Linked DNA regions of Tribolium castaneum. The protein of the gene in region 1 interacts with the protein of each later gene in a pairwise test. Links are inferred from orthologs where the notes say so. Each region holds a gene or a part of one and is shown in the gene's direction. Other genes may lie near its edges.

What was found.
Region 2: the proteins of jbug (region 1) and alc interact in a two-hybrid assay, tested with the Drosophila melanogaster proteins (2 studies listed by BioGRID). The link is inferred for Tribolium castaneum from reciprocal best matches to the Drosophila melanogaster genes jbug and alc.

Annotation. Positions count from the first base shown.
Region 1 is NC_087398.1:12,982,704-12,995,072, forward strand, and holds part of jbug (filamin-A), read left to right. Parts: coding exon 1-252; intron 253-300; coding exon 301-464; intron 465-3,925; coding exon 3,926-5,153; intron 5,154-5,208; coding exon 5,209-5,376; intron 5,377-10,479; coding exon 10,480-10,854; intron 10,855-12,369.
Region 2 is NC_087402.1:2,228,381-2,241,230, reverse strand, and holds alc (5'-AMP-activated protein kinase subunit beta-1), read left to right. Parts: upstream 1-8,388; 5' UTR 8,389-8,436; coding exon 8,437-8,452; intron 8,453-8,499; exon of another isoform or gene 8,500-8,650; coding exon of another isoform or gene 8,651-8,795; exon of another isoform or gene 8,796-8,900; coding exon of another isoform or gene 8,901-8,955; intron 8,956-9,345; coding exon of another isoform or gene 9,346-9,522; intron 9,523-9,571; coding exon of another isoform or gene 9,572-9,918; exon of another isoform or gene 9,919-9,972; intron 9,973-10,023; exon of another isoform or gene 10,024-10,250; intron 10,251-10,509; coding exon 10,510-11,159; intron 11,160-11,394; coding exon 11,395-11,541; 3' UTR 11,542-11,773; downstream 11,774-12,850. Other genes in the region: leucine-rich repeat protein soc-2 homolog, read left to right, coding at 2,496-2,529, 2,577-3,943; uncharacterized protein LOC100142195, read right to left, coding at 8,651-8,795, 9,346-9,522, 9,572-9,918; zinc finger protein 69 homolog B, read right to left, coding at 11,792-12,051, 12,098-12,713, 12,773-12,850.

The DNA of each region.
Region 1 (12,369 bases):
CGTACTCGAACGTGACGGTGGAGATAAGGGGCCCTGATAACAAAGTGTATCCGGTGAAGAACCTGAGGCAGGGACGGGGGGTCTTCGTGCCGCAGAAGGTTGGTATGCATGAGATCGTCGTCAAATACGAAGAACAGGAAGTCGTCGGCGGTCATTATTTCCGAGTTTTGCCCCAACTTGTTGAAGTAGCGCCGCCCGGGATGGCGCCGTGTGCGTTGGGGTCGCTGGTCCAAGTCCTGGTCAATGCCACAGGTTTGCTTTTGCTTTTGTGAGCGACTGATTTGCATCGTGGGTGTTTAGGGGCGCCGAGGAGGGAGGATATTCTAGTGACGGCGTACAGCCCCACAGGGCGGCCGTTGAATTGTCCATTGACTACCATCGATGGGACCAATAGTGCTACCTTCAAGCCGGACGAAGCCGGGGAATGGAGGATTGAGATTACGTATCAAGGAAAGCAAATACAGGTAGTTATCCGTTTCGATGTCAATTATTGATCAATCACTTGACAAAATTAACCTTCGTTATATGACAAAAGAACTAGTTTTACTTCCTCTTGGTTTTTAAGTCTCACGGGATTTATCATCGAGGGTTTGATTGATTTGAAAGATTATTTCTGACGTATCGGCTCAATTTATTATTCCAATTAGTTGCGTTCATTTGATGAATTCGAACGTGCAGCGATTTATTAAAATTAACTCGACTTGTGTTTACCATAAGTAAATTATAATAATTGCGGTGAAGTCAATGATGAAAACATTTTGTATTGAATTATGTTTTTGGAGTCGTTATTGGGCACAATTTTTTTTTATAGTTTTTCGTGAAAATATCCACGATTAAGTCGCTGTAAAACATTTTGTATGTTTTTATAAAATCACTACTCTTTTGGTAAGATTCAATCTTGCTGTAATAAACGAATTATGAAAAGAAAAGCGAAATATAATAATTTTTGTTGGGTAGCTTTATTTTAAAATCTTGAAATCTAGCCTGAAATCGTGTTCGTATATCCTTTCAATTCATATTTGAATTTTGCAACAACGCATTTGCATTTTTTGGAGTGAAATGGAGCACAAATTGAGAGTATCTATTTGTATTTGACGCTGGGATTTAGTTTAACACAGAATTCTTATAGAAACTTTCAATTTTTGATGTATTTCAATCCAAAAAATTCATATGCGTTGTTGCAAAATTCTACTAAGAACTGAAATTCGTTTAATTACGTTTTTTATGCTCGCACGTATAAGTTAAATAGCACCATAAAAAATGTAAGAGTTGTGCAATGAAAACTGTAGAAATACAAGCACCATAAAACGAGAAATATGAGTACGTATGTACGAAATATGAGTATCCTTAAAACTGAAAATTAAATTTCTTTTTTCTATAGCAGGTGATAAAGTACCTATGTCTTTCTTTATCAATTTTTTTGAGTGAATACAATAGCACTTTAACCAAAAGGGTAGATAAAATATTGAATTTTTTATTCAATTAAATTTACAATTTGCAACATTTTAATTTGAAGGATATACGGATTAACAATAATTTTTTTCTCTTAAACTTGAAGTCCTGCTATAGAAAAAAAGTTGTATTACTTATACACGACGATAAAGATTGTTTATCTATCTACTCCTGAAATAAGTCCACTTGTGACTTCGTCCACATTAAGTTTTAAAAATTGTTGTTTTTCTATCCAAAAAGCTAAAAATTGATATGAAAATACATTAAAAAAATTCCATGGTTACAACTGTAACTACTCTACAACAATTAAAATATAGGTACGGCGAAAACACTGAAGTACTGACAATGATCAATATATGCTGCCAATTATATGTTGATAAATTTGTTAAAAATGACACTGGGTATTTTGATAGATTTTTTAGACGTTTTCTGAAACGTTTTCTAAACAGAGATAAGCAAAAGTATGAAACCAAGGGTTTTGTGTCTAAACTATGTACGAAAAACAAATTGGTACATCTAACTAACTTTAAAAATGTGATCATTTTTAAAAATGTTTTTTCTTTTAAATGGCACCCTACTACGGCGATTTTTTTGGTAAATATTATGCTCTAAAATTGATTTCTAATACAATAGTATTGTTTTAAACCAGTGTTTTTTCAAAATAAATTATTAAACTAGCACTACAAAGATTTTTCGAAGTTAGTCGTAAATGTTGTATCCATGTTTTTCTTGGAGTAAATGTAAATTTTTTACAACCACATTGGCCAAGATCAAAAAATTTTTGCAATGAACTCGGAACGCAAATTTAATATTTTTATTAAACATTTTTAGGGGATTCTCTTTTACCAAAAAAAATAGCAGCAATAGTATGCCATTAATTTTTTTTGAATTTTTTTGAGCAACTCAAAAATTAAAAAAAATTAAAAAATATACTTAAAAAATTATCACATTTTTTAAAGATGTACTTGATAATGTACTAAATGGAGTAATTTTATCTGTAAATTTTTTGCGGGTAAGGACATCCATGGCGATACAACCAATTCGGCAAAGTTCGAAAATTTTTTGTAATAAGCTCGGGGCGTCATTTTAATATTTTATTTTAATTAATTAAAAAAGTGTATACAGTTTTCTGCTATATTTTTTTCCAAATTTGTATCTGCTTGTAACTTCATTCTTTTTATCAGTTGATTTTCTCTAAAATTCTGTAATGTCCTTGACTTCTCCTGAACAATTTATTTGAATGAAGCAACAAATCCAATTCTAAGCACAAGTTTTCTAAAAATGCAAAATTTGTAGTTCTGAAAATTAAATTTAAAAACCTGAAATAGTTTTTTTGCACTAGACTTGTAACTATCACCTTAATTTTCTAAATATTATTAAAAAATTAGCTTATATTTATTTAAAAAAAAACAAAACGTAGTCATTTTTACGACTTTTTTCAATACCTAATATTACGTTGCCACTGACTTTTTCTATAGACATTTTACTGTAGCATTTACTACTCAGGCTTTTTTTACCATTACTCTTCGTCAATTTTCTATAATATTAATTGAAACTACTATGAAAGTTCTTAAAACTCATTATCCAAAAAAATTAAGAACTAAGTAAAAAAGCGAAGTAAAAAAATACGTCGAAAGGTAAAAATCTGATCAATAATTAATTTTAAATATGCAACCCGTTTATTTACTTGGTACTCGTATTTTTTTTAATCAAAATAAAGACATTTTTGCCGCCTCTAAATTTCTGCCGCTCTGGGCTATAGCCCATTTATAAGTATGCTACTGTCTCACGAAACTTTATCGAGACTCCACCACAAGAATTCAGTTTATTTTAACATTTAACTTTTTTATTTATAAACAATATAATAGAAAATTTAATCTTTCCACAATACTGATTCCAAGCATAAATCTTATTCTAATTTGACTTCGTAATGCTTGTTGATTAATGACAGTATTGCAAATAAAGAAAATCAAGGCCGAACTTGCCTTGTTTACATCCAGTTTTAACACAAAATGTAGGCTTTCAGCATTCACGTTTACTACTCATTGTTTTAAATAACGAATTGTACTAGCAGCTAATTGTCTTTTATTGTTACACTTAAGTAGTTTACCATTCGTGATTTCAACATTTGTAGAATGTATTGAAATGGCAACTTTTACACAATAATTTCGTACTTGTCTGCTAAAAATACAAAATTCATGCATAATTTAATTTAAATATATTGTTTACACTTCACTAAGCTGCGTTATTTCGTTTTTAATAAATGTAAAATGCCTTTACTCTCACTCGTTTGAGTCCAGCACGCAAAATATTTAAAAATAAATAATTAATAGACTCAGAGTATTTCTTTGGCAACCATATATATCAACTCACAAAAACATTCTTTATTCAAAATAGTTGTTTCGTAATTTTGTTTTTTCAAGTCGTGTATGAGACGAATTTTTGCTTGTTTTCAAAATCAAATTAATTTCAGGGTGGTCCTTTCACATGCTCAGTCTTCGACCCGAACGGCGTCCAAGTCTCCGGCCTCGAAGGCGCCCTGCCTCTCGTACCCCACAGCATCGACCTGGACTGCCGTGCTGTCGGCGTCCCTGGCGAAGTCTTCGCCGACATCGTCCACGACAAGCGCTCGGTCCACTGTCGCGTCGAGAAAGTCAACTCTTCGAAGCTCCTCTACCGTATCCACTTCACCCCCAAAGACGTGGGCAAGCACCGAGTCTACGTCTACTTCAACGGCTACGACGTCAAAGGCTCCCCGTTCATGATGCGCGTCGGCACCCAAAAGCGCTCCAAGTCCTCCAGCAGTCCGAGCCCCAACTCCACGTACAGACAAAGCCCAACTAGTCGATATTCAAGTTCTAGTCCAATCAACCACGTCAAAAACGCGACTTATAGCAATTACCGCCAAAGTGCCAGTCCGGTGTCGAGTGAAACCCACAAATACGCACAAGAGTATCACAAAATGTCGGTGGATAAGCGAAATTCGCCGAGTTTCAACGACCGGACGAACAGTCCGAGTTACCTCAACCGGACTAATAGTCCCAGCTACATGCAGAGGACCCAGAGTCCGAGCTACAACAGGTCGGATAGTCCTGACTACATCACCAGTCGGAGACTCAACGAGAAACGCTACGACACCGCTAGTCCCAGCTTTGCCAAGAAGGCAGAGTACGACTCGAGTTACACGTCGAAGATGTCTTCCATGCGTATTTCCGAGTCCAGGAGTCCGAATTTTTTAGAACGTTCTAGTCCAGATGTTGGTTATAACTCACGGTACGAGAAACGGGTCACTGAAAGTCGGTCTTTTAACAATTCGTATGATCACAACGACGGAATTGACACTAGTCCCATAGTCAAAGTGTCGGCAATCGCAGACCAATCATCCGCCAGAAGAGACTCCTGGGATGCTATTGCAAAAACACGAAATATTCTATCAGAGCGAAGTCTTGAATCAGTGGCCAATTTAACCGACTCCCAACTAGACGCCGACCTGCGACGGAGAAAAGTGGAGGAACACAACCGAATGTTCACCCAAGAGCACAACTACACGTCCTCACAGAAATACTCGAACAACATTGATATTTATGGGAGGAATTCACCGTCCACAGGACACAGGATCGGGGTTAGAAACGGCGGAGCGTCCGCTGTTAAAGTTCAGCCGGTCCCTGACGGCGTCCTGGGACAACCCGTTGAGTTTGAAAGTACTTGTGATACCTTTAGTTTAAATTTTTGGTAGTAATGAGTTTGAAATTGCAGTTGATGGGAGCGGTGCCGGCTCCGGTGATTTGGAAATTCTGGTGGAAGGTGGTCGGGTCACGTCCAGTGTTAGGAGTCTGGGTGGACAACGGTTTAAGGCCGCTTTTACCCCACACCAAGCGCTGCCGCATCGGGTCGATATCAAGTTTAACGGCGAAACGGTGCCAGGTAAGTGATTTTTTTTATGGAAATCGCCGATTTTGGAATGGTGTTGGCGAAGAGGCCCACACTTGTTTGCGTGGGAGTTGATTGTGTTGTGTGACACAGTTTTTGAATTGGGCCAGGGTCGACGGAGTTTATTTTAATGGGTTTATGATTTAAATTGTTTTTAACCGATATCAGGCAATACAAAAACATGGATATTGTTTCGGTTAAGAATGTGCAGATGTAGATTGTTGCAGTTAGGTCGTACTCAAATGGAAATCTATGATTGATTTATGTCTCTCCATTAGTTATCTTAAAGTTATGAGATTCAGCGATGTGGCAAATAGGGTTATTATGTCCATATAAGTCAATCTTTAACATAGAGATGCGCATAAATCTTTCTAAGTAAACGTGCTATAATTAACAGGAGGAGAGATTGCAAATCGGCAAGGTGTGGCTAGGTATAATAAATTTATCATTTTGACAGTATTGATACATACGTATGTCATACCCTATTTATTTATTTGTACAAAATTTTTCCTCATTTTAAACGACTAAAGCTAAACTGATTAACATTAATAAAGATGTAGCACAAAAACTAGTAAATACAATAGGTGTACGTAAAATGAAACGTAGAATCCGTCGCAAACTGTTTTACTCTAAGATTTTTACTTTTCGGGTAACAAATTTTTTTTGTCAAAACTAAAAATCTTTCTGTAACCGGAGTCGTAACCCGGAACGGCTTTAGGTTCTTACGAGAAGAAAAATAATTTAAAGCGCATTTTGATGCTTTTTTGGTTTTTGCTTACGTATAAGTATTCCGGGGAAAATGCAAAATGCGTTGAAATGTTTACAGTTTTTACTTTTCAAGCGGCGACTATTGGAGTTAGCGAAAAATGTCAAATACTATTAGAACCGGGTTAAAAAACTACAAAATCGTATGAATTTTAAGACAATTTCTAAAAAAAAACCATTTTTAAATGCTGATTATGGCGAAACTTTAAATGACTAGAAGAATTTTTTTTAAGAAATTGAAAGACATTTGGTTTCGTTTTTGACCATTCAATTTTGTGATAAGCTTATTACAAGCATGATTTTTTTCATTTTTACATCGTAAGGAGCACATCAGAAAAAGCTAACAGAGAGAATGGATTCCTTCGATTTTGGATGCTTCCAAAATTGGATTTTGTGTGGTGGATTTTTTTATTTTTGGAAGCTTTTATTTAACTTGTTTTGTTATCTGTTTGTTTGTTTCTGGGGTTCCTGTTATGCGAACGAAATGGAATTTTGCATACACACGTAATCTCCGTGACAATGCAATTCGATTTAGTTAATTCCCCCAAAACGGGGTAAAAGGGGTTGTTGAAATCATTTTCGACAGAGTTCATATATGACATTTTAAGAAAAGTAATCAAAAAATATGTTGTTAAATAAATAATTAGAAAAAATGAAAGAGATGCGAATAAGATAAGCGAGGTTCAAGGTTCAAAGTTAAGTGACAATATCTTGAAAATTACTACTGCAGTTTGCTTCTTCAATATGTGACATATGCCTCATGGAAAACAAATCCTACAAGCAGATGAGCAAATGGGGTTGTTTAGGATGGGTAAGCGATCTAAGTAAATACCGAGATAACGACTAAAAAATAAAAAAACAAAAGAACTGTTTTTAAGGGAAACTTTTATTTAAAAATGCTCTAATAAATAAACAGTAATGTTTTTCTATCACTGGAGATAATTTTTGCTTACAGATTAGGATATTTTATAAAAGCTTTAAGAGTGATCTTAACACTACTTATACCACACTACAAAATTACTTTCTTCAATTGACCAATGTTCGATTGTTTCCAAAGCTTTTATAAATTTTGGAATAATAATGTGGATGCAAAAATATTCTCCTATGATAGAAAAACAGTATTTTCTACTTTTTACTGTATTTTTTAAATAAAAGCTTTCTTTAGAAACATATTTTTTGTGTTTTTTTTATTTTTTATGTTACGGCAAAAGCATTACATCAAAACTATTTTGATGTAAACGTATATAAAATGATTTGGGGAATCGATTGACGCTGAGCAAAATGCAAAATTTATTAGGTATTTAGTTATCAACAGATGTAAATTTTAACTATTTTTGCTTTTGTTAGCAATTTTCTCGAAAACTATTAGTTGGAGGACAACGATTCTTTTTCAAAATTAAAAAGATAATAAATTAATGGGTTTACGTTTACATGTAATAGTTTCAGAGTTAAAAAAATCTGAAAATTCAAACTTTCTAAAATCGATATTCGATATTTGCTGAAAATATTTCCGAGGTTTTCATAAAGTGATTCATCGATAAAGATATATACAACGTGAGTGAGCTAATAGTATTTTTTGCTATATCTCAAAAAATGTACAGAAATCTGCGTTTGCTTTAGCAATTTTACTCGCAATTTTACATTTTTTATAATAAATATGTATTTACTTAATTAAAAATATTAATATGAATAAAATATTATTCGAACTAAAGTTTATTATTTTTAGTGTCATGTTAAAACAAATTCCTAAATTAAAAAAAATACGTAAAAAAATTTACGATAGTTCTAAAACTGCATCTCTTTGACTTTTTGTAATTTTTTTTTATTTTCCGCCATTTTTATGCTTTAATAGGCATCTTAAAGCACTCAACGTCATCAAGTGCGATGTCACAATAGTCATTATTTGACGGAAAATTTTACGAAAATTTTTAGGTTGGCAAGAAGCAAATTCGAGACCGTATTTTTGCTAATGTCACAAATTTCAGGGGGTGTTCATGCAAGATTACCTCCATTGTCATCCAAACTTTTGTTTTTTGACACAACTTTAATAAAAAAAATTTAAATCAATTTTTCTTTTTCAAAATTGAGATATTACCAACTGTCACAATTACCTAAATCGACTAAAATAACATTTTTTGTTTAAAAACGGCAAAAAGGGGTCAAAATACAAAACATAATATAAAAAACTAATATCATAAGATCTTAAAGCACTCATTCTTTCAAAAAACTCGTGGCTAACGCCACTCGTTTTTGAAACTGAATTCGTACTTTAAGGTTGGTCTTATGAAACTTGTTTTTTAATATACTATTATTTTTTAAGGCCAGCGCCAATTTCACTGTGTAACAAAAAGTGGAATTTATGTGTAATAACTAACAATAATAGTGTTTATTAAAAGTGTAGGTCTTTCCGAATAATTTTTTTGGTGCAATTTATTTCTAGTGTTGAAAAAAAAATGGGGATTTGACAATGCAAAATTTACGTTATCTATGAACTTGGTCTCTTATATTAAAAATTATATTAAAATATTTAATAATTATATTAAAAATATTTTAAGAAATTAAGAAAAAAGTCTGCACTTAATCTACTGCTAACAATAAATAAGAGGGATTTTTTAACTTTATTTTTCCAGAGCCTATGCGCCATTTTATATACACCTTCTATATAGAGAAAAATAAGAGGTATTTAATAGACAAGGCATCGGAAAAGGCTGATTTCTGTATATTTATGTTGTTAGTATTTGAGATACCTACGGTGAAAATATACTTTTAGCAGACTCACCTGGTATACAAACAGCGGAAGAATCAAAGGAAACATACTACATTCTAAACTGTTTACCGGGATTTTTAAATGTCTTAATTAAAATGTTTACATTGTTCCAAGCATTGTCCAATTATTTCATTATGTTTATCTTCTTCTCAAAAATATAAAATTCATTTCTGGGTACCTTTTTTTCGTAATGTGTAATCCGAATTTAAACAAATTTAATTAACAGCAAAATTTATGCACAATGTTCCGTGAAAAGTATTTTAACGAGCACATTGTAACATATACTGTTCAGGTTTTAAATGAATTTCTTTATTTAGCAATAACAAAATAGCCGCTGTTTTAACAATGTTAGCCTAGTTCGCGCCAATGTCTGTTAACATTTATTCCATAAAGCGTAAAAATTAAAATATTATCATTAATAAGTAATTTTGTGATCTTGCTTCGCATTTCATCGATTTGAAGAAAGTGAAACGATGTGCAAAATTTTTGTGTCTAGCGTTTTTGCGTGATTCAGCGATGTGAACGTCCTATAATTTTGAACGCGCTTCAAATGCACAAACACGAGAAACAAGTCCAGTGTCTCCAATAATTAATTCCACGTTTATTAAAGCATGATTGCTCTAATAGTATAATAAACGTATTTCTCATGTGTTACTATAAGAGAGAGCATATTATATAAGCATCTGCACATTTCTATGACCTAGTAATAAGTTAACCGGTTACACACAAAGCCAGCAATCTCAGAAACAATGTAGGGAATTTCACCGATGACCTCAGAATTTCTATTCGATAATAACCCGGCCCTGGTTCCAAAATCCGGAAACGAATTTTTCTTTGCGATTTGCCACGGTTTCTGCAAATCCGACTTTGAATAAATTTGCATTTTTCGAATCGGCAACAACGTGACTAAAATTAAATGCCAGCAGGCAGTTATTTCTCCTTTTTCCGCTTTCATCTTACCTGCGCGCAGGTTCAATGGCCCACTGGGTCTTATTTATTTCTGAAATAAGAACGACCAATGGAGCGTTTGTTTACGTCCAGGAAATTTAAATCTGGATGTCATTATTCATACCAAATGGTTCCCCGATCACTGAAGCGACGCTTGTGACCATCGGCCGGAACCAAACGTTTAAATCAATGGCGTAGCGATTTAGGCGCCACAACAATTACTCTAGCTAATTGTTATGACCTGGACTTTGAACTAAAGTCCAATTTGAAAGAAACAAATTGTTTTTTTCGTGGTTGTTAGAACCAGTGGCGGTTGGTGCAAAATCAGGAATCAATTTATGTTTTCTGACGGACGCCACTGCATCGCGAGTTACCTGTAGTTAGCGTAGGAATGTCGCCCGCCTCTCTCCCCGCCCACTGTTGTGGTACCCACGACTTCTACCAACACTAACACGGTACCAGTACCAGCCGCGTTACCATTACCGACGTTCGCTTCGCGCTGTCGTCCATTTTCCGCGAAAACCGGACTTTTCCGGGGTACCACCGAGTCGAAGTGCGTGCGATGTGCGGTTCCGGGTCGGCCAGGCCCCAGTTTGAAGGGTTTTTGTGGTTTTAAGGGAGTCCATGGCATGTTAACATCATGTCGAACTCAAATCTGTCAGTTTTGGGCGAAACCACCAGATTGGTGCCGGCCAACACTTCGGCCGTTTTCGAAATCATAACAAGTACCAATGTGGCGCCCGACGATTTGATGGTGCATGTGATTGCGCCCAGCAAAAGGTCGGTGCCGGCGAGAGTGCTCCCCGGAAATCGCACCGGAGTTCAAAGTGTGGAGTTTGTGCCGACGGAGGTCGGGACTCACATCATTGAAGTCACCGTTAACGGGGAAAAGTTGCCCTCGGGGCCCTTGATCGCCAAAGTGTACGATGCTGGGCTTATTCAAGTGGCCGATGTCAGTGGAGGGGTTGTGGGACAGCCCGTGCAATTTCGAGGTAAGCTTTTAAATAAATGCAACATTTTTTAATTACGCGATTATGGTACTATTGTGAAAGTCCCGGGGTTTGATTTATTGCCGAATTAATATTTATGCGACCATCCGAGCCAGAACTGGCCAAAATTTTCAGTTATTTGTAAATCGCGCCAGGAAGAGGGTGGTACTCCTAACTATGGTGAGTCTCTTGATTACTACTTGATCGGCAACCTGAAACCTTGAAATTGTTCAGGTGCAGTAATAATTGTAGAAAGTACTGCATTGTTTGTAATAAGTCACTGTAACATATGTTTATTTTTTGTTGCAAACACGTTTAACACTTGTATCTCGGTACTTTCGCAAAAGACTTTAATCGTGTTATTAAACTGAATGGGTAAAGGATACGCCTTTTCCATTTTTTGTAATATCCTCTTGATCGCAGGAAATTCTTTTTTATTTGCTCATTGGCAGGAAAGTAATAACCTTTGCTTATTGTGCAAAGCTGTAATTTCGTTCTCTCTATAACCTTGACTCCTTCATCAAGTCTCAATTTTTCTTGTAGTACCTGATTCCCTGGTGTATAATTAGACCTGCTTCGACGAAATCTGCGTTGCAGTTTCTACCCACCAGGAGTTATTTTTTCATTTAGGAAAACAGCTAAGAGTCTTGATAATGTTACTACTTGTGGGAAGTTACCTGCTTGAAATAAAGCAACTATTTTATAATCATTAGACTAGTCTGTCTTTAATGGTAGATGATTAATGTGTAATTAGGCTTTTTTAAATTCCTATGTAATAATAACCTCTGGGTTTCATAAACCGGTCACATTAATATTCAAGACAGTAGTCGATATAATTTTTATTCTAGTAGAACCACTGGAAAATTGGGTTCTTGAATCACAGATAAGCACTAGCGTTGCAACCAATGAATAAAATAATAAAATGTAACTGAAGTTTAATCATACCAGAACCCAGGCTTTACAGACATTAAAATTACTACATGTTTTTTTTGTGTAACTATTTTTGTTGTTGTTTCCATAATTTTTTCCTAATTTTAAGGATGATTTTCTGTGATTTCCTCTGATTTCCTCTTTATACCACTTTTCTCTGCTTTCTTGATAGAATATTTACCTCGGGAATTCAAATATAAATCGGAATTTGTTTGTAACTTTTGACTGAAACAAAATTTTAACAAAACTTTTTAAACTAGGTACTTTTCCACGTACAGTACGTGGAACAACACATACGCCATCCCTTTGATAGTTTCATATCATAATACTTTTTTTTATAAAAGTTTTTTGGCCTAGTGCTAAACCACTTATGTACAAGAAGTTTTACTGTGCTTCCCACTCGATTTAAATATGAAAGGAATCTTTTTAAATTCAATAACAATATTACGTATGATAAAACCTGAATTCGTCATTTCACTGTAGAATTTAATAAAGCTAATTAAAAAAAGTGACGACACTCTATTTCACCAAAGCCGATAAAAGCCATAGTTGTAGTTTCAGATGGAAAAAATATGGCTTCTGTAAGAC
Region 2 (12,850 bases), on another chromosome or scaffold:
TTTTTGTTGGATAAAATTTTCCACTATGACAAATGGCTACCCTAAATTTAGGCAAAAAATTTTAAATTTTTAATTCTTGTGAAAAATTGATATAATATGTAAAATGAGCCGCTGAATTCAATGGAACAAACCGCAATGCTCTACGACTTTTAGTTTTTTTTTATGAATTTTTTTAGTGAAAAACTTTGATCGCCTCTGTAGCCGGAACCGTTGCCCGGAGCGGCTCCGGGTTTAATCGAAAAAATAGAGAAAATTAATCGCTATCAGATGGTTTTTTGTTCGTTGCTCTAAGTCTTACAGTTTCCGAGAAAAACGCAAAAAAAGTTTCCATTTTCACTTTTTTTCAATTTGCAACCGCCAATTACGGCGAAACTGTTAGAGTTATCGAGAAACGGAAAAATCGAGGACAACCGGAATAAAAAACTCTACAAAATGGCATAGGACTCAAGGCGATATCTCGCAGAAAATTTTTCAATTTTCAATCGCCGATTACGGCCAAACTAAAAGAGCTAGGAGAAAACTCTTTTTTCCATCGTAAAGAGCACATCAAAAGCTATAAAATAGAATAAGTTTTATTCGATTCTGAGACACTTTTAAAATTGACCATTTTGAAGGGGGGGGTGTTAACTTTTTTTTAATTTTTTTTATTTTCCCAATTACGACTAAACTATTCAAAAAAGTGGAACTATTTTGATCCATACCTATGCAAAATGATCCGGGAAATCGATTGGCATCGAAAAAATTGCCAAATTCCCAATAGTTTTTTAGTTATGAATTTTTTAAAATTTTACCAATTTTTGCATTTATCTGCAATTTGCTCAAAAACTATTAGTCGGAGAACAATAATTTTTTTTGAAAAAAATAGATAATTCAAAAAGCTTTCCAACGATAATAAACTTCATAGGGTTATCTCTGATAGTTCCGGAGCTATTGCTCAACAAATGTGCCGGGTACTCAAAATCGACAAAAATTGCGACGAAAATTGAAAAAATCAAACATCAAAAAATCGAACATATGGACTTTTTTTGGACTTTTAACAACTCTAGAGTGTTGTAAAGGCATATATAAATGCGAAAAAGTATGATAGAACGAATTTAAAAAAAAATAATTTTTTCACTTTCTTGAAGGTAAGTGTTTATTTCTCAAGAAATTTTAGCAAAAAAAATAAAATTTTTAAATCTCATGAAAAGTTCGTATAATACAGAAAATGAGCCGCTGAATTCAATGGAACAAACCGCATTGCTCTATGACTTTTAGTTTTTGAGTTATGAATTTTTTTGTTGGATAAAATTTTCCACTATGACAAATGGCTACCCTAAATTTTAGCAAAAAAAATTAAATTTTTAAATCTCATGAAAAGTTTGCATAATACAGAAAATGAGCCGCTGAATTCAATGGAACAAACCGCATTGCTCTACGACTTTTAGTTTTTGAGTTATGAATTTTTTTGTTGGATAAAATTTTCCACTATGACAAATGGCTACCCTAAATTTAGGCAAAAAATTTTAAATTTTTAATTCTTGTGAAAATTTGATATAATATGTAAAATGAGCCGTAGAATTCAATCGAACAAACCGCCATGCTCTACGACTCTTAGTTTTTTTTTATGAATTTTTTTAGTGAAAAACTTTGATCGCCTCTGTTGCCGGAACCGTTGCCAGGAACGGCTCCGGGTTTGGATGAAAAAATAGATAAAATTAAGCGCTATCAGATAGTTTTTTTGTTTTTGGTAAATAAAATTTTTCACTGTAGATGCTTAATTTATCTTAATTTTTAGCAAAAAACTTTAAAAGTTTACATCTTGTTAAAGAATGGTTTCATACGCAAAATGAGCCGCTGAATTCAATGAAACAAACCGCTTTTAGTTTACGAGTTATGAATTTTTTTTGGTAAATAAAATTTTTCACTATAGATGTTGCCTATCTTAATTTTTAGCAAAAAATTTTAAATTTTTAGTTCTTGTGAAAAATTGATATAATATGTAAAAAAAGATTGCCAACTATAAGAGTTAGCGAAAAATCGGAATAATTCATTAGAACATAATAATCCATTTTCTTTACCTCGATGTATACGTTGTACTTTTATTAATAATTTATAAAATCAGTTTTTACTTTGGATAGGTTTATGACATGTATCTGGAAGTTTGTTTTATAATATCGTGTGGAAGCGGTATCCACTAAAAGAATCTCATATTTATGCAAAAAATCCGATGTTCTCTACACTCGGAATGCAAAACAGGATCATCAACGCTCCAAGAAGCGAGTCACGCACGACGGCACAGTTGCCAACTTTATTGATTGCCCTTTGTAAAGAACTGATTCACTCCAATTATAAACAAAATTGCGGCATTTATTGATTCCACTTTAATTAAACAACGCGGGCAAATTTCAAAAGACGGCTGAGTTCGTGCCAACTCGTGCGCTGATCGGTCAACAGGTGGGGATGACATGCTTGTTGTTATTTTCCTAACCTAATTACCTAATTGTCAAAATAAAATGAAAAACGTCCAACAAGAGATTTTAACTACAGGTAAAATATTACATACATTAACAATTTGCCTGCAGTTATGTTCTTAGAGGATACGTTTGTGTCCGTTGTCCCGACCCGTGATAACACCCTTAAAGTGCAAAATTGCACTGAGGATACCGGGGAGCGAGTGCAGCTCTGTAAGTTGCATGAATTTCTTACCACCTTTGAATTGACTAAAATTACAACTTTGCATCTTCAAAATTGCGAAATTAGCCAACTCCCGCGCGATGTACAGAAATTAAATTTAAAGCGCTTGGTTTTGAACCACAATCAACTAAAAGAAGTGCCTAGTTGTTTGTATTCCGGCTTGGAAGCGTTGCAAGTGTTAGACCTGTCTCATAATCTTATCAAAACGTTTGATGTCGAGCCGGCTTGTAGTCGCAATATTGTTAGTCTAAAACTGTCCCATAACAAAATTTACAATTTTCCGCACTGGATCATGACCTGTCATTGCCCCAATTTAATCGAAATTGATTACAGTGCCAATTTTTTGACCAGCGTGAGCGTGGCACGTAAGCTAACGCTCAAAAAAATTACAATGAACAATTCGCAATTGCTTGACGTTGATTTCGAGTTTTTCAAACGTATATCAACCTTAGAATATCTAGATATAGGTAACACCAATTGCAAATTAACAAAACAGGAGAACGAATTTAAAGACATAACTCAACTATTCGTTAAAACCAAATGGAAAGAACTGAAAGTTTTGAAGTTGGACCACATACTTGTGTCTATTATCCCGGACGGACTTTTCTGGATTGTGTCACTGACTGAGCTTCACTTAAGTCATTGCGAGCTGAGCTGGATACCGCCAGAGGTCCAGTATTTAACAAACTTGGAGGTTCTGGATGTGTCTCATAATTCCATTTGCGGAATTCCGAAAGAACTAGCGATTTTACCGAAGTTGCGAATCGTTAAAGCATCTTTTAATCTTGTTTCGTCAGTGGATGATTTCACGAATGAGTTAGAAATTTTGGATTTGTATCATAATGAACTTGAGACGTTTCCAAATTCAATCGAGCGAATTAAATTCGTCGATTTGGAGCAGAATTATGTCGATATGTCGCTGTATAAAACATATGGCGAAAAACGGGATTCTTTCCGCCAAATGCTTGACGATGGGAGAGCTGACGGTCCGAGGGTTCCACCAACGGAGGTTCCCAGCAGTGACGATGATCGGCTTTCATCAGAAGGCAGCGTTTGCGGAAATGATGATTTTTATGACGCTGATTTGGTTGATGAAACGTGGGATTATGAGGAACCTAATGTTAATGTTGGTCGTGTGCGGAACCCAGAAATAACGCCCTCTGATGACGAATGGACGGGGAGAGAAGAAATAATCATCAGGGAAAAAAGAACAACCAAGCCGTGGATTGATGTAAATGAAGACTGGATATTTTCAGATGTTGAATGATTGTTTTGTATGTTTTTAAGTTTAGAATAAAGTTTTTATTACAATTTTTACGCGTTTTTATTTATACGTCCGCCGGTGCTAATAAAATATGGTGGGAGGAAATTAAACGTCTGGCGATGGGGCGGAAAGATAATGGTAATTAAGTTGGTTTGTTAAAGAAGAATAATGGGAACTTGGCAATTATCTAACGCGAGAATTCAATATGTAACGAAATATTTGGGCGAAAAAGTCGTCTTCACACGACATTGTGCGAGTGATTTATCGTCGCTGGGATCTTAATTGCAAAGCAGCCCTCAAGCTCAGGTGAATCTCAAAGGACCAATGAAACGGTGAATCCTAGCCATGGCCAAGTGAGCTAATCTCGGGTGTTTTATTGCCTAGATTCAACTTTACACCTCCATTACGTCAAGGCGTAAACATGCCAGTGGAACAAGAAACCCACATGGACTTAATTTTCGGATGACCGATTTTTCATATTGTTTAACGTTTGTTGTTTTCAAAAGTTGGTCACTTTTTTTTACTTCATTCCTGGTTTACGCAGTTCTGAATAGGTTTTTTGCATAGTTTATCAATTTTTTTTGTAATAAAATAGTTATGATGTTGGTTGCTTGTGTTCGTTCAATTTAAATCGCCTTCGCAAGGCTTTATGCAACGTCCCTGTGGCGCAGAGGATAGCGCGTTGGACTTCTAATCCAAAGGTCGTGGGTTCGATCCCCGCCAGGGATGGGCTGCGAGGCAGCTTTTTTTAAATTTCCATTTCATTTTTTTAATTAACTTAACATTTTATTAAATTAACAAACAGAAATACAAACGGTTCATTGTTGTTCTGCAAACAATTCTTTCGAAGTTCTTGTGTATGTGATACAGTTAATGTGTAAATAGCCAAACCGATGGCTATTTTTATGCATTATTTAATAGAATATTTACAATTGGGCATAATCTTGTAAGTTACGTATTATAATTAGCATTTTTTGCGATTTATTACAATACACCTCAGTTACAATAATAAATTTTTCATTTGTTTATTTTCTCAATTACGACAAAACTATTCGAAAAAGTTAAACTATTTTAACCCCTACCTATGCAAAATGATCCGGGGAATCGATTGGCATGAAGGAAATCGCCAAATTCCCAATAATTTTTTAGTTATGAATTTTTTAAAATTTTACCAATTTTTGCTTTTATCTGCAATTTGCTCGAAAACTATTAGCCGGAGAACAATAATCTTTTTTGAAAAAAATAGATAATCTAAAGAGCTTTCCAACAATGATAGACTTCAAGGGGTTATCTCTAATATTTCCGGAGCTATTGCTCGATAAATGTTCCGGGTACCCGACATCGACCAAAATCGCGACAAAAATTGAAAACATTCAACATCAAAAATCGAACAAATGTTTTTTTTTTGGACTTTTAACAACTCTAGAGGTTTGTTAAGACTTATAAAAGTCTATAAAACTTTGCTAGAGTGAGTATAATTTTTTTTATCATTTTTGTGAAGGTATTTGCTTTGACTTTGACCATTAAAATTTTAGGCAAAAAAAATCAAAAACTCATCTTGTGTTTTTGAAAAAGATAGATAATAAATAATAATAATAAATAATAAACTTAATGGAGTTCGTCTTATAGTTCCGTAGATATAGCTCGAGCGACAAATTTAAAAAATCAATTTTTTGATTTTTTGAAGGTGAGTTGGCCATTTAAATTTTAATTTTTATTAACTTCAGCTTCAGGTTTACATTCTATTAGATTGAAATCTGCTTGTTTCTTGGGACTGCTGTTGAAAAGAGCTTCGCATTTTTGGTAAAAAAAAAGTTATTTTTGCCACGTCTCCCAACAAAGCCACCAGAGATCTAATCCGTTTCCATTTACCTGACTCTGGCAGTGTGAACGTCCGGCTCGAGGCTCGCTTCACCTCGGCCTGCCACTAGAGTGTTTGCCTCATGTAAAGTAACATCGGCCATGTTGACTTACTCACTCTCCCAATACGCATTGCCATTGAAATCGCGCTAATTTCGTTTAAACAGTGCCCAAAAGTGCCAAAATCCCAAAATAGTAATTTCTCGTGCATGACCCCGAAAAAACCAACTCGAAATATCTCAATTCCTTCAATATGTGACGCGAGTGAGCCACTTCTGTGACCTACATCCAGTTTAAAAGCCACACAGAATATGTCCAGTTCGCGTTAAGAGATTACGGTGGCATGTTATTAAACATGTCCAATAAGAAACAGCCTTTTGTAGTGAAACCAGCAGCGGATTCTGCCACTTCTGCACCCCCGAGATATCAGCCGCCGCCGTTACCGCCCACTGGGGCCCAGGGCATCCTCAAACACCACCCGAAAGATGCCAAACTTTATCCCGCACCCAAACTACCCGAAAACGTGAGGCTGCCACAGCCCGGAAAAAACTACCCCTACTATCCAGAACGCACCACACAAGTGCAGGTCTGTAGAGGCGAAATAAAAACACACTACAATTATTTATTCATCCCATTTATCGACAAAAGTATGTCTTAAAGTGAAACCAGAAAGTTGTATTTTTTCTTTAGAGAAGAACTAAACATGAAAGTAAAACTCAGACGATTACCAAAGTTTTACTAATTAATTGCCACCAAATTTCTCGAATTTTTGTGTGTATAATAAGCATTGTATTTTCACTTTTTCATTAGTATTTATAATAATAATTTGACAGGTTTCACATCTCCGGTATTCTAATTAATTATATTATTTTTGCTTTCTAAATGCACCAGTAATATTTCTCTATTGAAACGCACTTTTTCGTAAAATTAATCTCGTTTTTCGTAAAAAAATAGTGCAAAAACCCAAATTTATGTCCTTTTTGGATTGTCTAAGAGAATTTCGGTAAAAAATCACAGTCGAAAACTAATCACCCGGAGCCATATACACAACACTCATTTGGCGAAATTTTCCTCTAGTACGCGAATAATTTTTGATGAAGGTCGGATTGATGTTTCGCTTGATTTAGTTGGTTTTATAAGAGAGAAACGATTTTTTGCGACATTTCCCTCAAAAAGTAAACACGAAAAATCACGTAATTGTTACGTTACTTGTACATTTTTTCAAATGAGGTTGAAACGCAAATTGCTAAATAAAAAAAAATAGGTGCACCAGCCGCGGCCCCTGGACGAGCCCGGCGTGCCCCAGGTCCAGCACCGGCCAGTTCGCTACGACGACGAGTTCCTCCGTCCCGAAATGCTGAAATTCGTTCGGAAACCCGACGACCCTCGCTTAGCCGACCCCAACCGGCACATGCAGAGCATCCTCGGCGAGTTGCGCGCCCTCAAAGAGGCCAACCAGCGCCTCGCCGACGATAACCAGGAGTTGAGGGATTTGTGCTGTTTCCTCGACGACGACCGCCAGAAAGGGCGCAAACTGGCCCGCGAATGGCAACGATTCGGCCGTTACACCGCCAGCGTAATGCGCCAGGAGGTCTCCGCTTATCAAAATAAATTACGCGAGTTGGACAACAAGCAGCAAGAATTGATCAAGGACAACTTGGAGTTGAAGGAATTGTGTCTCTATCTGGACGAGGAGCGAGGCGGCAACTCCATGTGCCCGGCCTGCGGGAGCGCCCCCACGGGGAACCTCCGGGACGACGGCGACGGCTCGAGTTCGAGCACTAACGCGGACGAACCGGCGATTCCCCAGCAGTTCACAAATGGGGGAAACCCCCCGAGGAGGTCCGCCAGTCGGGAGAGGATCCTCCACGAGAATCTTGCAAGGCAAAGGAGCACTTTCAACGGTGCGAAGTTATTTTTCTTGTTGGAATTTTATTAATAAGTGTTTTTAGATCAAATTATGCAATACGTTAGGAGCCTGGAGCAGCGCGTTAAGCAACTGGAGGAAGATAAGCGCGCTCTGACTCATAAAATCAACCAGATTGCGACAACAACGGGCGATTCTAGTATTGCTATTCCGCCAGATGCGGGCGTTGGGGTGCTCACAGGGCGCCCCGAAGCCGTCGTCAGAGCCCTCCAGGTCCTCGAGGTGCGAGAACAGTTGGAGAGGGAAGGGCGGATGCCCGAAAGGACGGAGAACATGTCAGACAGCACGTCTCAAGACATGGACGATGGGGAAAAAGCCCTCGTCAGAGAAATGTGCAATGTGAGTTAAGTTAACTCATTATTATAAAATTTAACGAAAATTACCGCAGGTTGTTTGGCGCAAACTAGAGGAAGGGCCCTCGCGAAGATGAGCCGATGCTTGCCGTAATGTTTAAGTACAAGACACGTCTTGCCATTGCGTGACGTCTATATCAATCCTGCTTATTACAGAGTATTATTTTTATACATTTATTTATTGTGTGAGTCACTGACGTAATGTATGTAGTTTGAAAATTGTTATTTTTTGAGAACGTCTTCAAATAAAAAATCTTTCTATGATGCGCAGTTTCGTAATACCGCTAATTGAGTTATTTTTACGTATATAATTTGAAACTCATGGTCGCATTCCAAGTTTGTTTTGTTGTGCCGGTATGGAAAAGTGGAAAGGTAAGTAAGTGGTGTCTTTTAAATCATTCACCACCGCGGAACAAACGTAGGGTCCTTTCAATTTATTATACACAATATAAACAAAAATAACACTTGTGAAAACAACACTCATTTACTTGAAGAAAACACACAATGGAAATGCAGAAATAAACAATATTTTCTTTTAAATAATCTATAAATACCCTTGAAGAAAAGTCATCAATAACGATGACGGCGACTGCTTCTCCTGTAGTCGTCGTATCTCCGTGAAGACCTTTGGTGTCTTCGTCCATAGTCCCTCTCGTAGTAGTCACCACGGTCTCTATCTCTGTGGCGTCTAGACCGATCGTAGTGCGAATCGTAACTAAAAATATTTATACCATAATGAGCACCATACTCTGACTCATACAGGGCCAAAAAGCTATGTCAGTTCCACACCAAGTCACCAACTGGCATATATGGACACCCATCAAACAAATCCATATAATATGCTTAACCAAACCATATAAATTAATACCATGTGCCTGACAAATCACAAAACAACAATTAGGTAAAACGTCTTGGTGCACTTCGAAAGGAAACAGAAACTCCATCACGAGACAAAGCACACTAAGTGCCCCGGGCAGCTATCAGTTGAGCGGTCTTTTTTTTTAATCGCAAAGTAATTACTAATCTATGGTCAAAAGTAAAAAATTAAGCCCTGTCACCAAAAATCATTAATGTTTAAATTGAATTTGTGAGAAGGCTTAATTTTAGACTTGGTACCTAATTTTAATTTTTTGTGACTGTTAAATATTCTTGCATAACATTATTCCCATTTTAAAAGACGTCTTAACTGATAATCACCTCTTCCACAATGAACCTCAACCGCCACAAATGCTTTGTCTCGTAATCAAACCGAAAGTAAGCTTTACCGTGAATTGCGATCGCGCTTGTCGCCGCCTCCGCCGTTCAATTCCGGGCAGTCTCTGTAAAAATGCCCGGAATAACCGCACTGATAGCATCTCATATTAGAATTGAAGAACCTCCTCCCTGAGCCCCTAGTTCTGGGCCTGGCATGGGTCACCCTAATCCTGCTCCCAGCCACTTCGCTACAATCCCAAGAATAATCCACGAAACCAACCACCACCTCACCCTTACATCCCGTCCGTGGCCTTCAAAGCTGCATTAGCTGCCTTTTTGTCTTTGAAAACGGCGAAGCCGAAACACGGCGTACTGTTGGTCATCCAGACCTCTTTCAAGTCTCCGAAAGGAGCGAAAACCTTCTCCAAGTCGGATTTTCGCACATCGTCCCCTATATCAGCAATGTGGAGCCTGTAACCATCGGCCTCACTGCTCCTGCTCCGGGACCTTGAACGTGACTTGGAATAACTGGAACGGCTCTGTTTGCTCTTATTACTGTTCTTGCTACTGTTTGAGGTGCTCCGACTTCGCCGCTTTTCCGCCTGGTCCGGAGACTGCGACTTTTCCTGATCGTTGTCGCGCATTTTCACAATTTTCACCAAATCAAAGATAAACAACTAATTGTTTCCGGCGCCTACCTAAAATGGCTGCTCTAACCAGACTTTGCCACAAACTAGTAATTCACTCACTGGGGCTCTTGACTCGATTTTCCTTCCCTCCAAACTTTTCTTCTATCGATTTATCACTTTAATTAGGGAATTTTCTAGTCCACCGACGCCAAAAACGACGCCACGTGACGTAATTCCGTCAAAACACCAGCTTGGTTGTGGCTACGGACACGCATTTGGCCCGGTTTACGCCAAAATTACGCGCTTATCCAACAATTTGCACGCCCTAGTTTGATAACGGGTGCCCACCATTGAAATATTACAACATTTAGCAAGAAACTTTTATTGTTATTTCACGAATTGGTTGTGAGGCCTTAGCCACAAGGCACACGAGGCTTGCTCTTTCTCTCTCCCACTCAAGGTTGTTCCATCTCCCCTCTCAACTCTCAAGGTTGCTCTCAAGGTTAGGCCTGTCACGAACGTCAAACTTGTACACAGTGTAAATAAATTGTTAGCGCTTTAAATGTTGGTAAACTCGGGCTCAAGCGTGTAAAATGGGCAATGCAGGCAGTGGCGGAGCGCCGCGGGAGCGCCCCAAGTATGGCGAGACGGTGCCATCGTCCCCCTCCAGAGAGGGCCAAGCGTTCGTTTTCGAGAAAAAACCGGACAAGTTGCTGTACCAGAGCTCGCAAGACGACGAAGAGCCGTATTTCACGCGCCCCGTGACGGCCGATTTCGACCACCAGAGACCGCGAGCTAACACTGTGTCAGAGGGTACTAAAGTCAACACCAGTGACAAGACACCGACGGTTTTCCGATGGGAAGGCGGGGGTAAGGACGTCTACGTCAGTGGGACTTTTACGGAGTGGAAAACTATTCCTATGGTGAAAAGCCACGGCGATTTCGTAACTATCATCGACTTGCCAGAAGGGGAACACCAGTACAAGTTCTACGTTGATGGGGAGTGGAAGAACGACCCTGGGAATAAAATGGTGGAGGACGAAAGCGGTGTCAAAAATAATCTTATTACGGTGAAAAAGTCCGACTTTGAGGTGTTTCAAGCCCTGGATAAGGACAGCGAAAATGCCAATAATGACTCGCAGAAGGAGTTCTCGCAGGAAATACCGGCCAATAAGCCATGGGAGAAGGTCACAGGGCCCCCCATATTGCCCCCGCACTTACTGCAAGTTATTCTGAATAAGGACACGCCACTTTCGGTAATTTGCACTTTTTTTCTTGAATCGTATGTAAAATCCAAACATTGTGATTTCTGAAGATTTTTCAGATTTTTTACGCTCAATTGGTTGATAAAAAAATCAGTTATAGCCTTTTGTTCATATTATATTAGTGTGCATCAAGTAGGTTGTAGAAATCTAAATCCACCTTTAATTTCATGGCCTACTGAAGAAGAGTATTTCTTATCGTAAATAATACAAGGTATATTTTTTGCAGTGTGAACCAACTCTCTTACCTGAACCCAACCACGTAATGCTAAACCACCTTTACGCCTTATCCATCAAGGATGGAGTCATGGTACTTAGCGCCACTCATAGATACCGCAAGAAATACGTTACTACTCTTTTATATAAACCGATTTAAGCTATTATTTATATTGTTGTGCATAATCCTTTAATGTTATTGGGTTTCATTGCTTTCTTTAACAGCTCCTGGAACAATGAAAGAAGTTGCTGGTGGGTCACAGAGCTTCAATGTGGCTCGTTACCATAGTTACCAAATTAAATTAATGCCTTAATGTGGGAAACAAATGAATGCGATTTTTTTCATTGCCTTAAGACAGCTGTGCTATGTAAATAAAAGTTGTTTCTAAGTATATAGCGTTTTATTTTATTTACGTTACACCGTGTTTTGATTTAATGTGAGTCACTAGTGAGACTTTTTGGGGGAAGGCCATTGGACAGTGCTCACAAACGTAGGGTTTTTCATTAGTATGTTGCCTGGTGTGGACTTTGAGCGAGTAAGTGCTCGTGAAGCCCTTGCAGCAATAAACACACATATAAGGCCGTTCACCCGTGTGGCTGTGCATGTGTTTTTTCATGTCTCTGACTCTTTTTCCACATATTGTGCACATAACTTTACCAATTTCTGGGTCTGTAACAAATAAGTTGGAAAAAAATTAAATAAACTGAAACCAGACCTATGTGTGTCTTCAGGTGTCTTTTATATTCCGCTTTGACTTTGAAAGTTTTTTCGCAAATCTCGCAAGTGTAAATGATTCCTCGATGGATTAGCATGTGTCCTCGTAATGATTCCGAATTTTTGAACACTTTGCCACAGTGTTTGCACTCAACTGGTGTTTCCAGGTGCAGTTGGACGTGGCGTTTCAGATTATCAGACCTCACAATCATGCCACAGACGTTACAAACACCAGGAGCCACATGCTCGGTGCGTTTGTGGTTATATAACTTAAATCTTGAAGGAAATGTTTTATCACACACGTTACATTTACACATTTTCATCACAGCGATAGCTCCTTTAACCGTTTCTTTAACATTGTTGGGGTTTAATTCATCAAAAGAACAAACGGATTCATTTTCAGACTGGACTGTTTCGTTCAGTTTTGGTTTAAGCTCTTCGGTTTTGATTGCCGTTTCCGAATTTCGTCTGGCGGGCTTTAAACGTTCATTAAATAAGCTCCTTTCTTTGAGTTCTCTATCGCTGTTAATTATCACTTTGCGAAAATTGTACAGGGTGTTAACGTTTAATACGCATTCTTGGCAAATACTTGAAGGATACTCTTTGCCTCTAATGATCTGTTGAAGAATAAAAATCATAGGTTTGTGTTTTAAATTAGAAGACAAACCGGAATTACTTGAATGGATGAAATTGCCTCAATTTTTTCTATTAATCCCTGGTTTGAATAAAGTGGTGTTAAATTGTCAGGCACTCG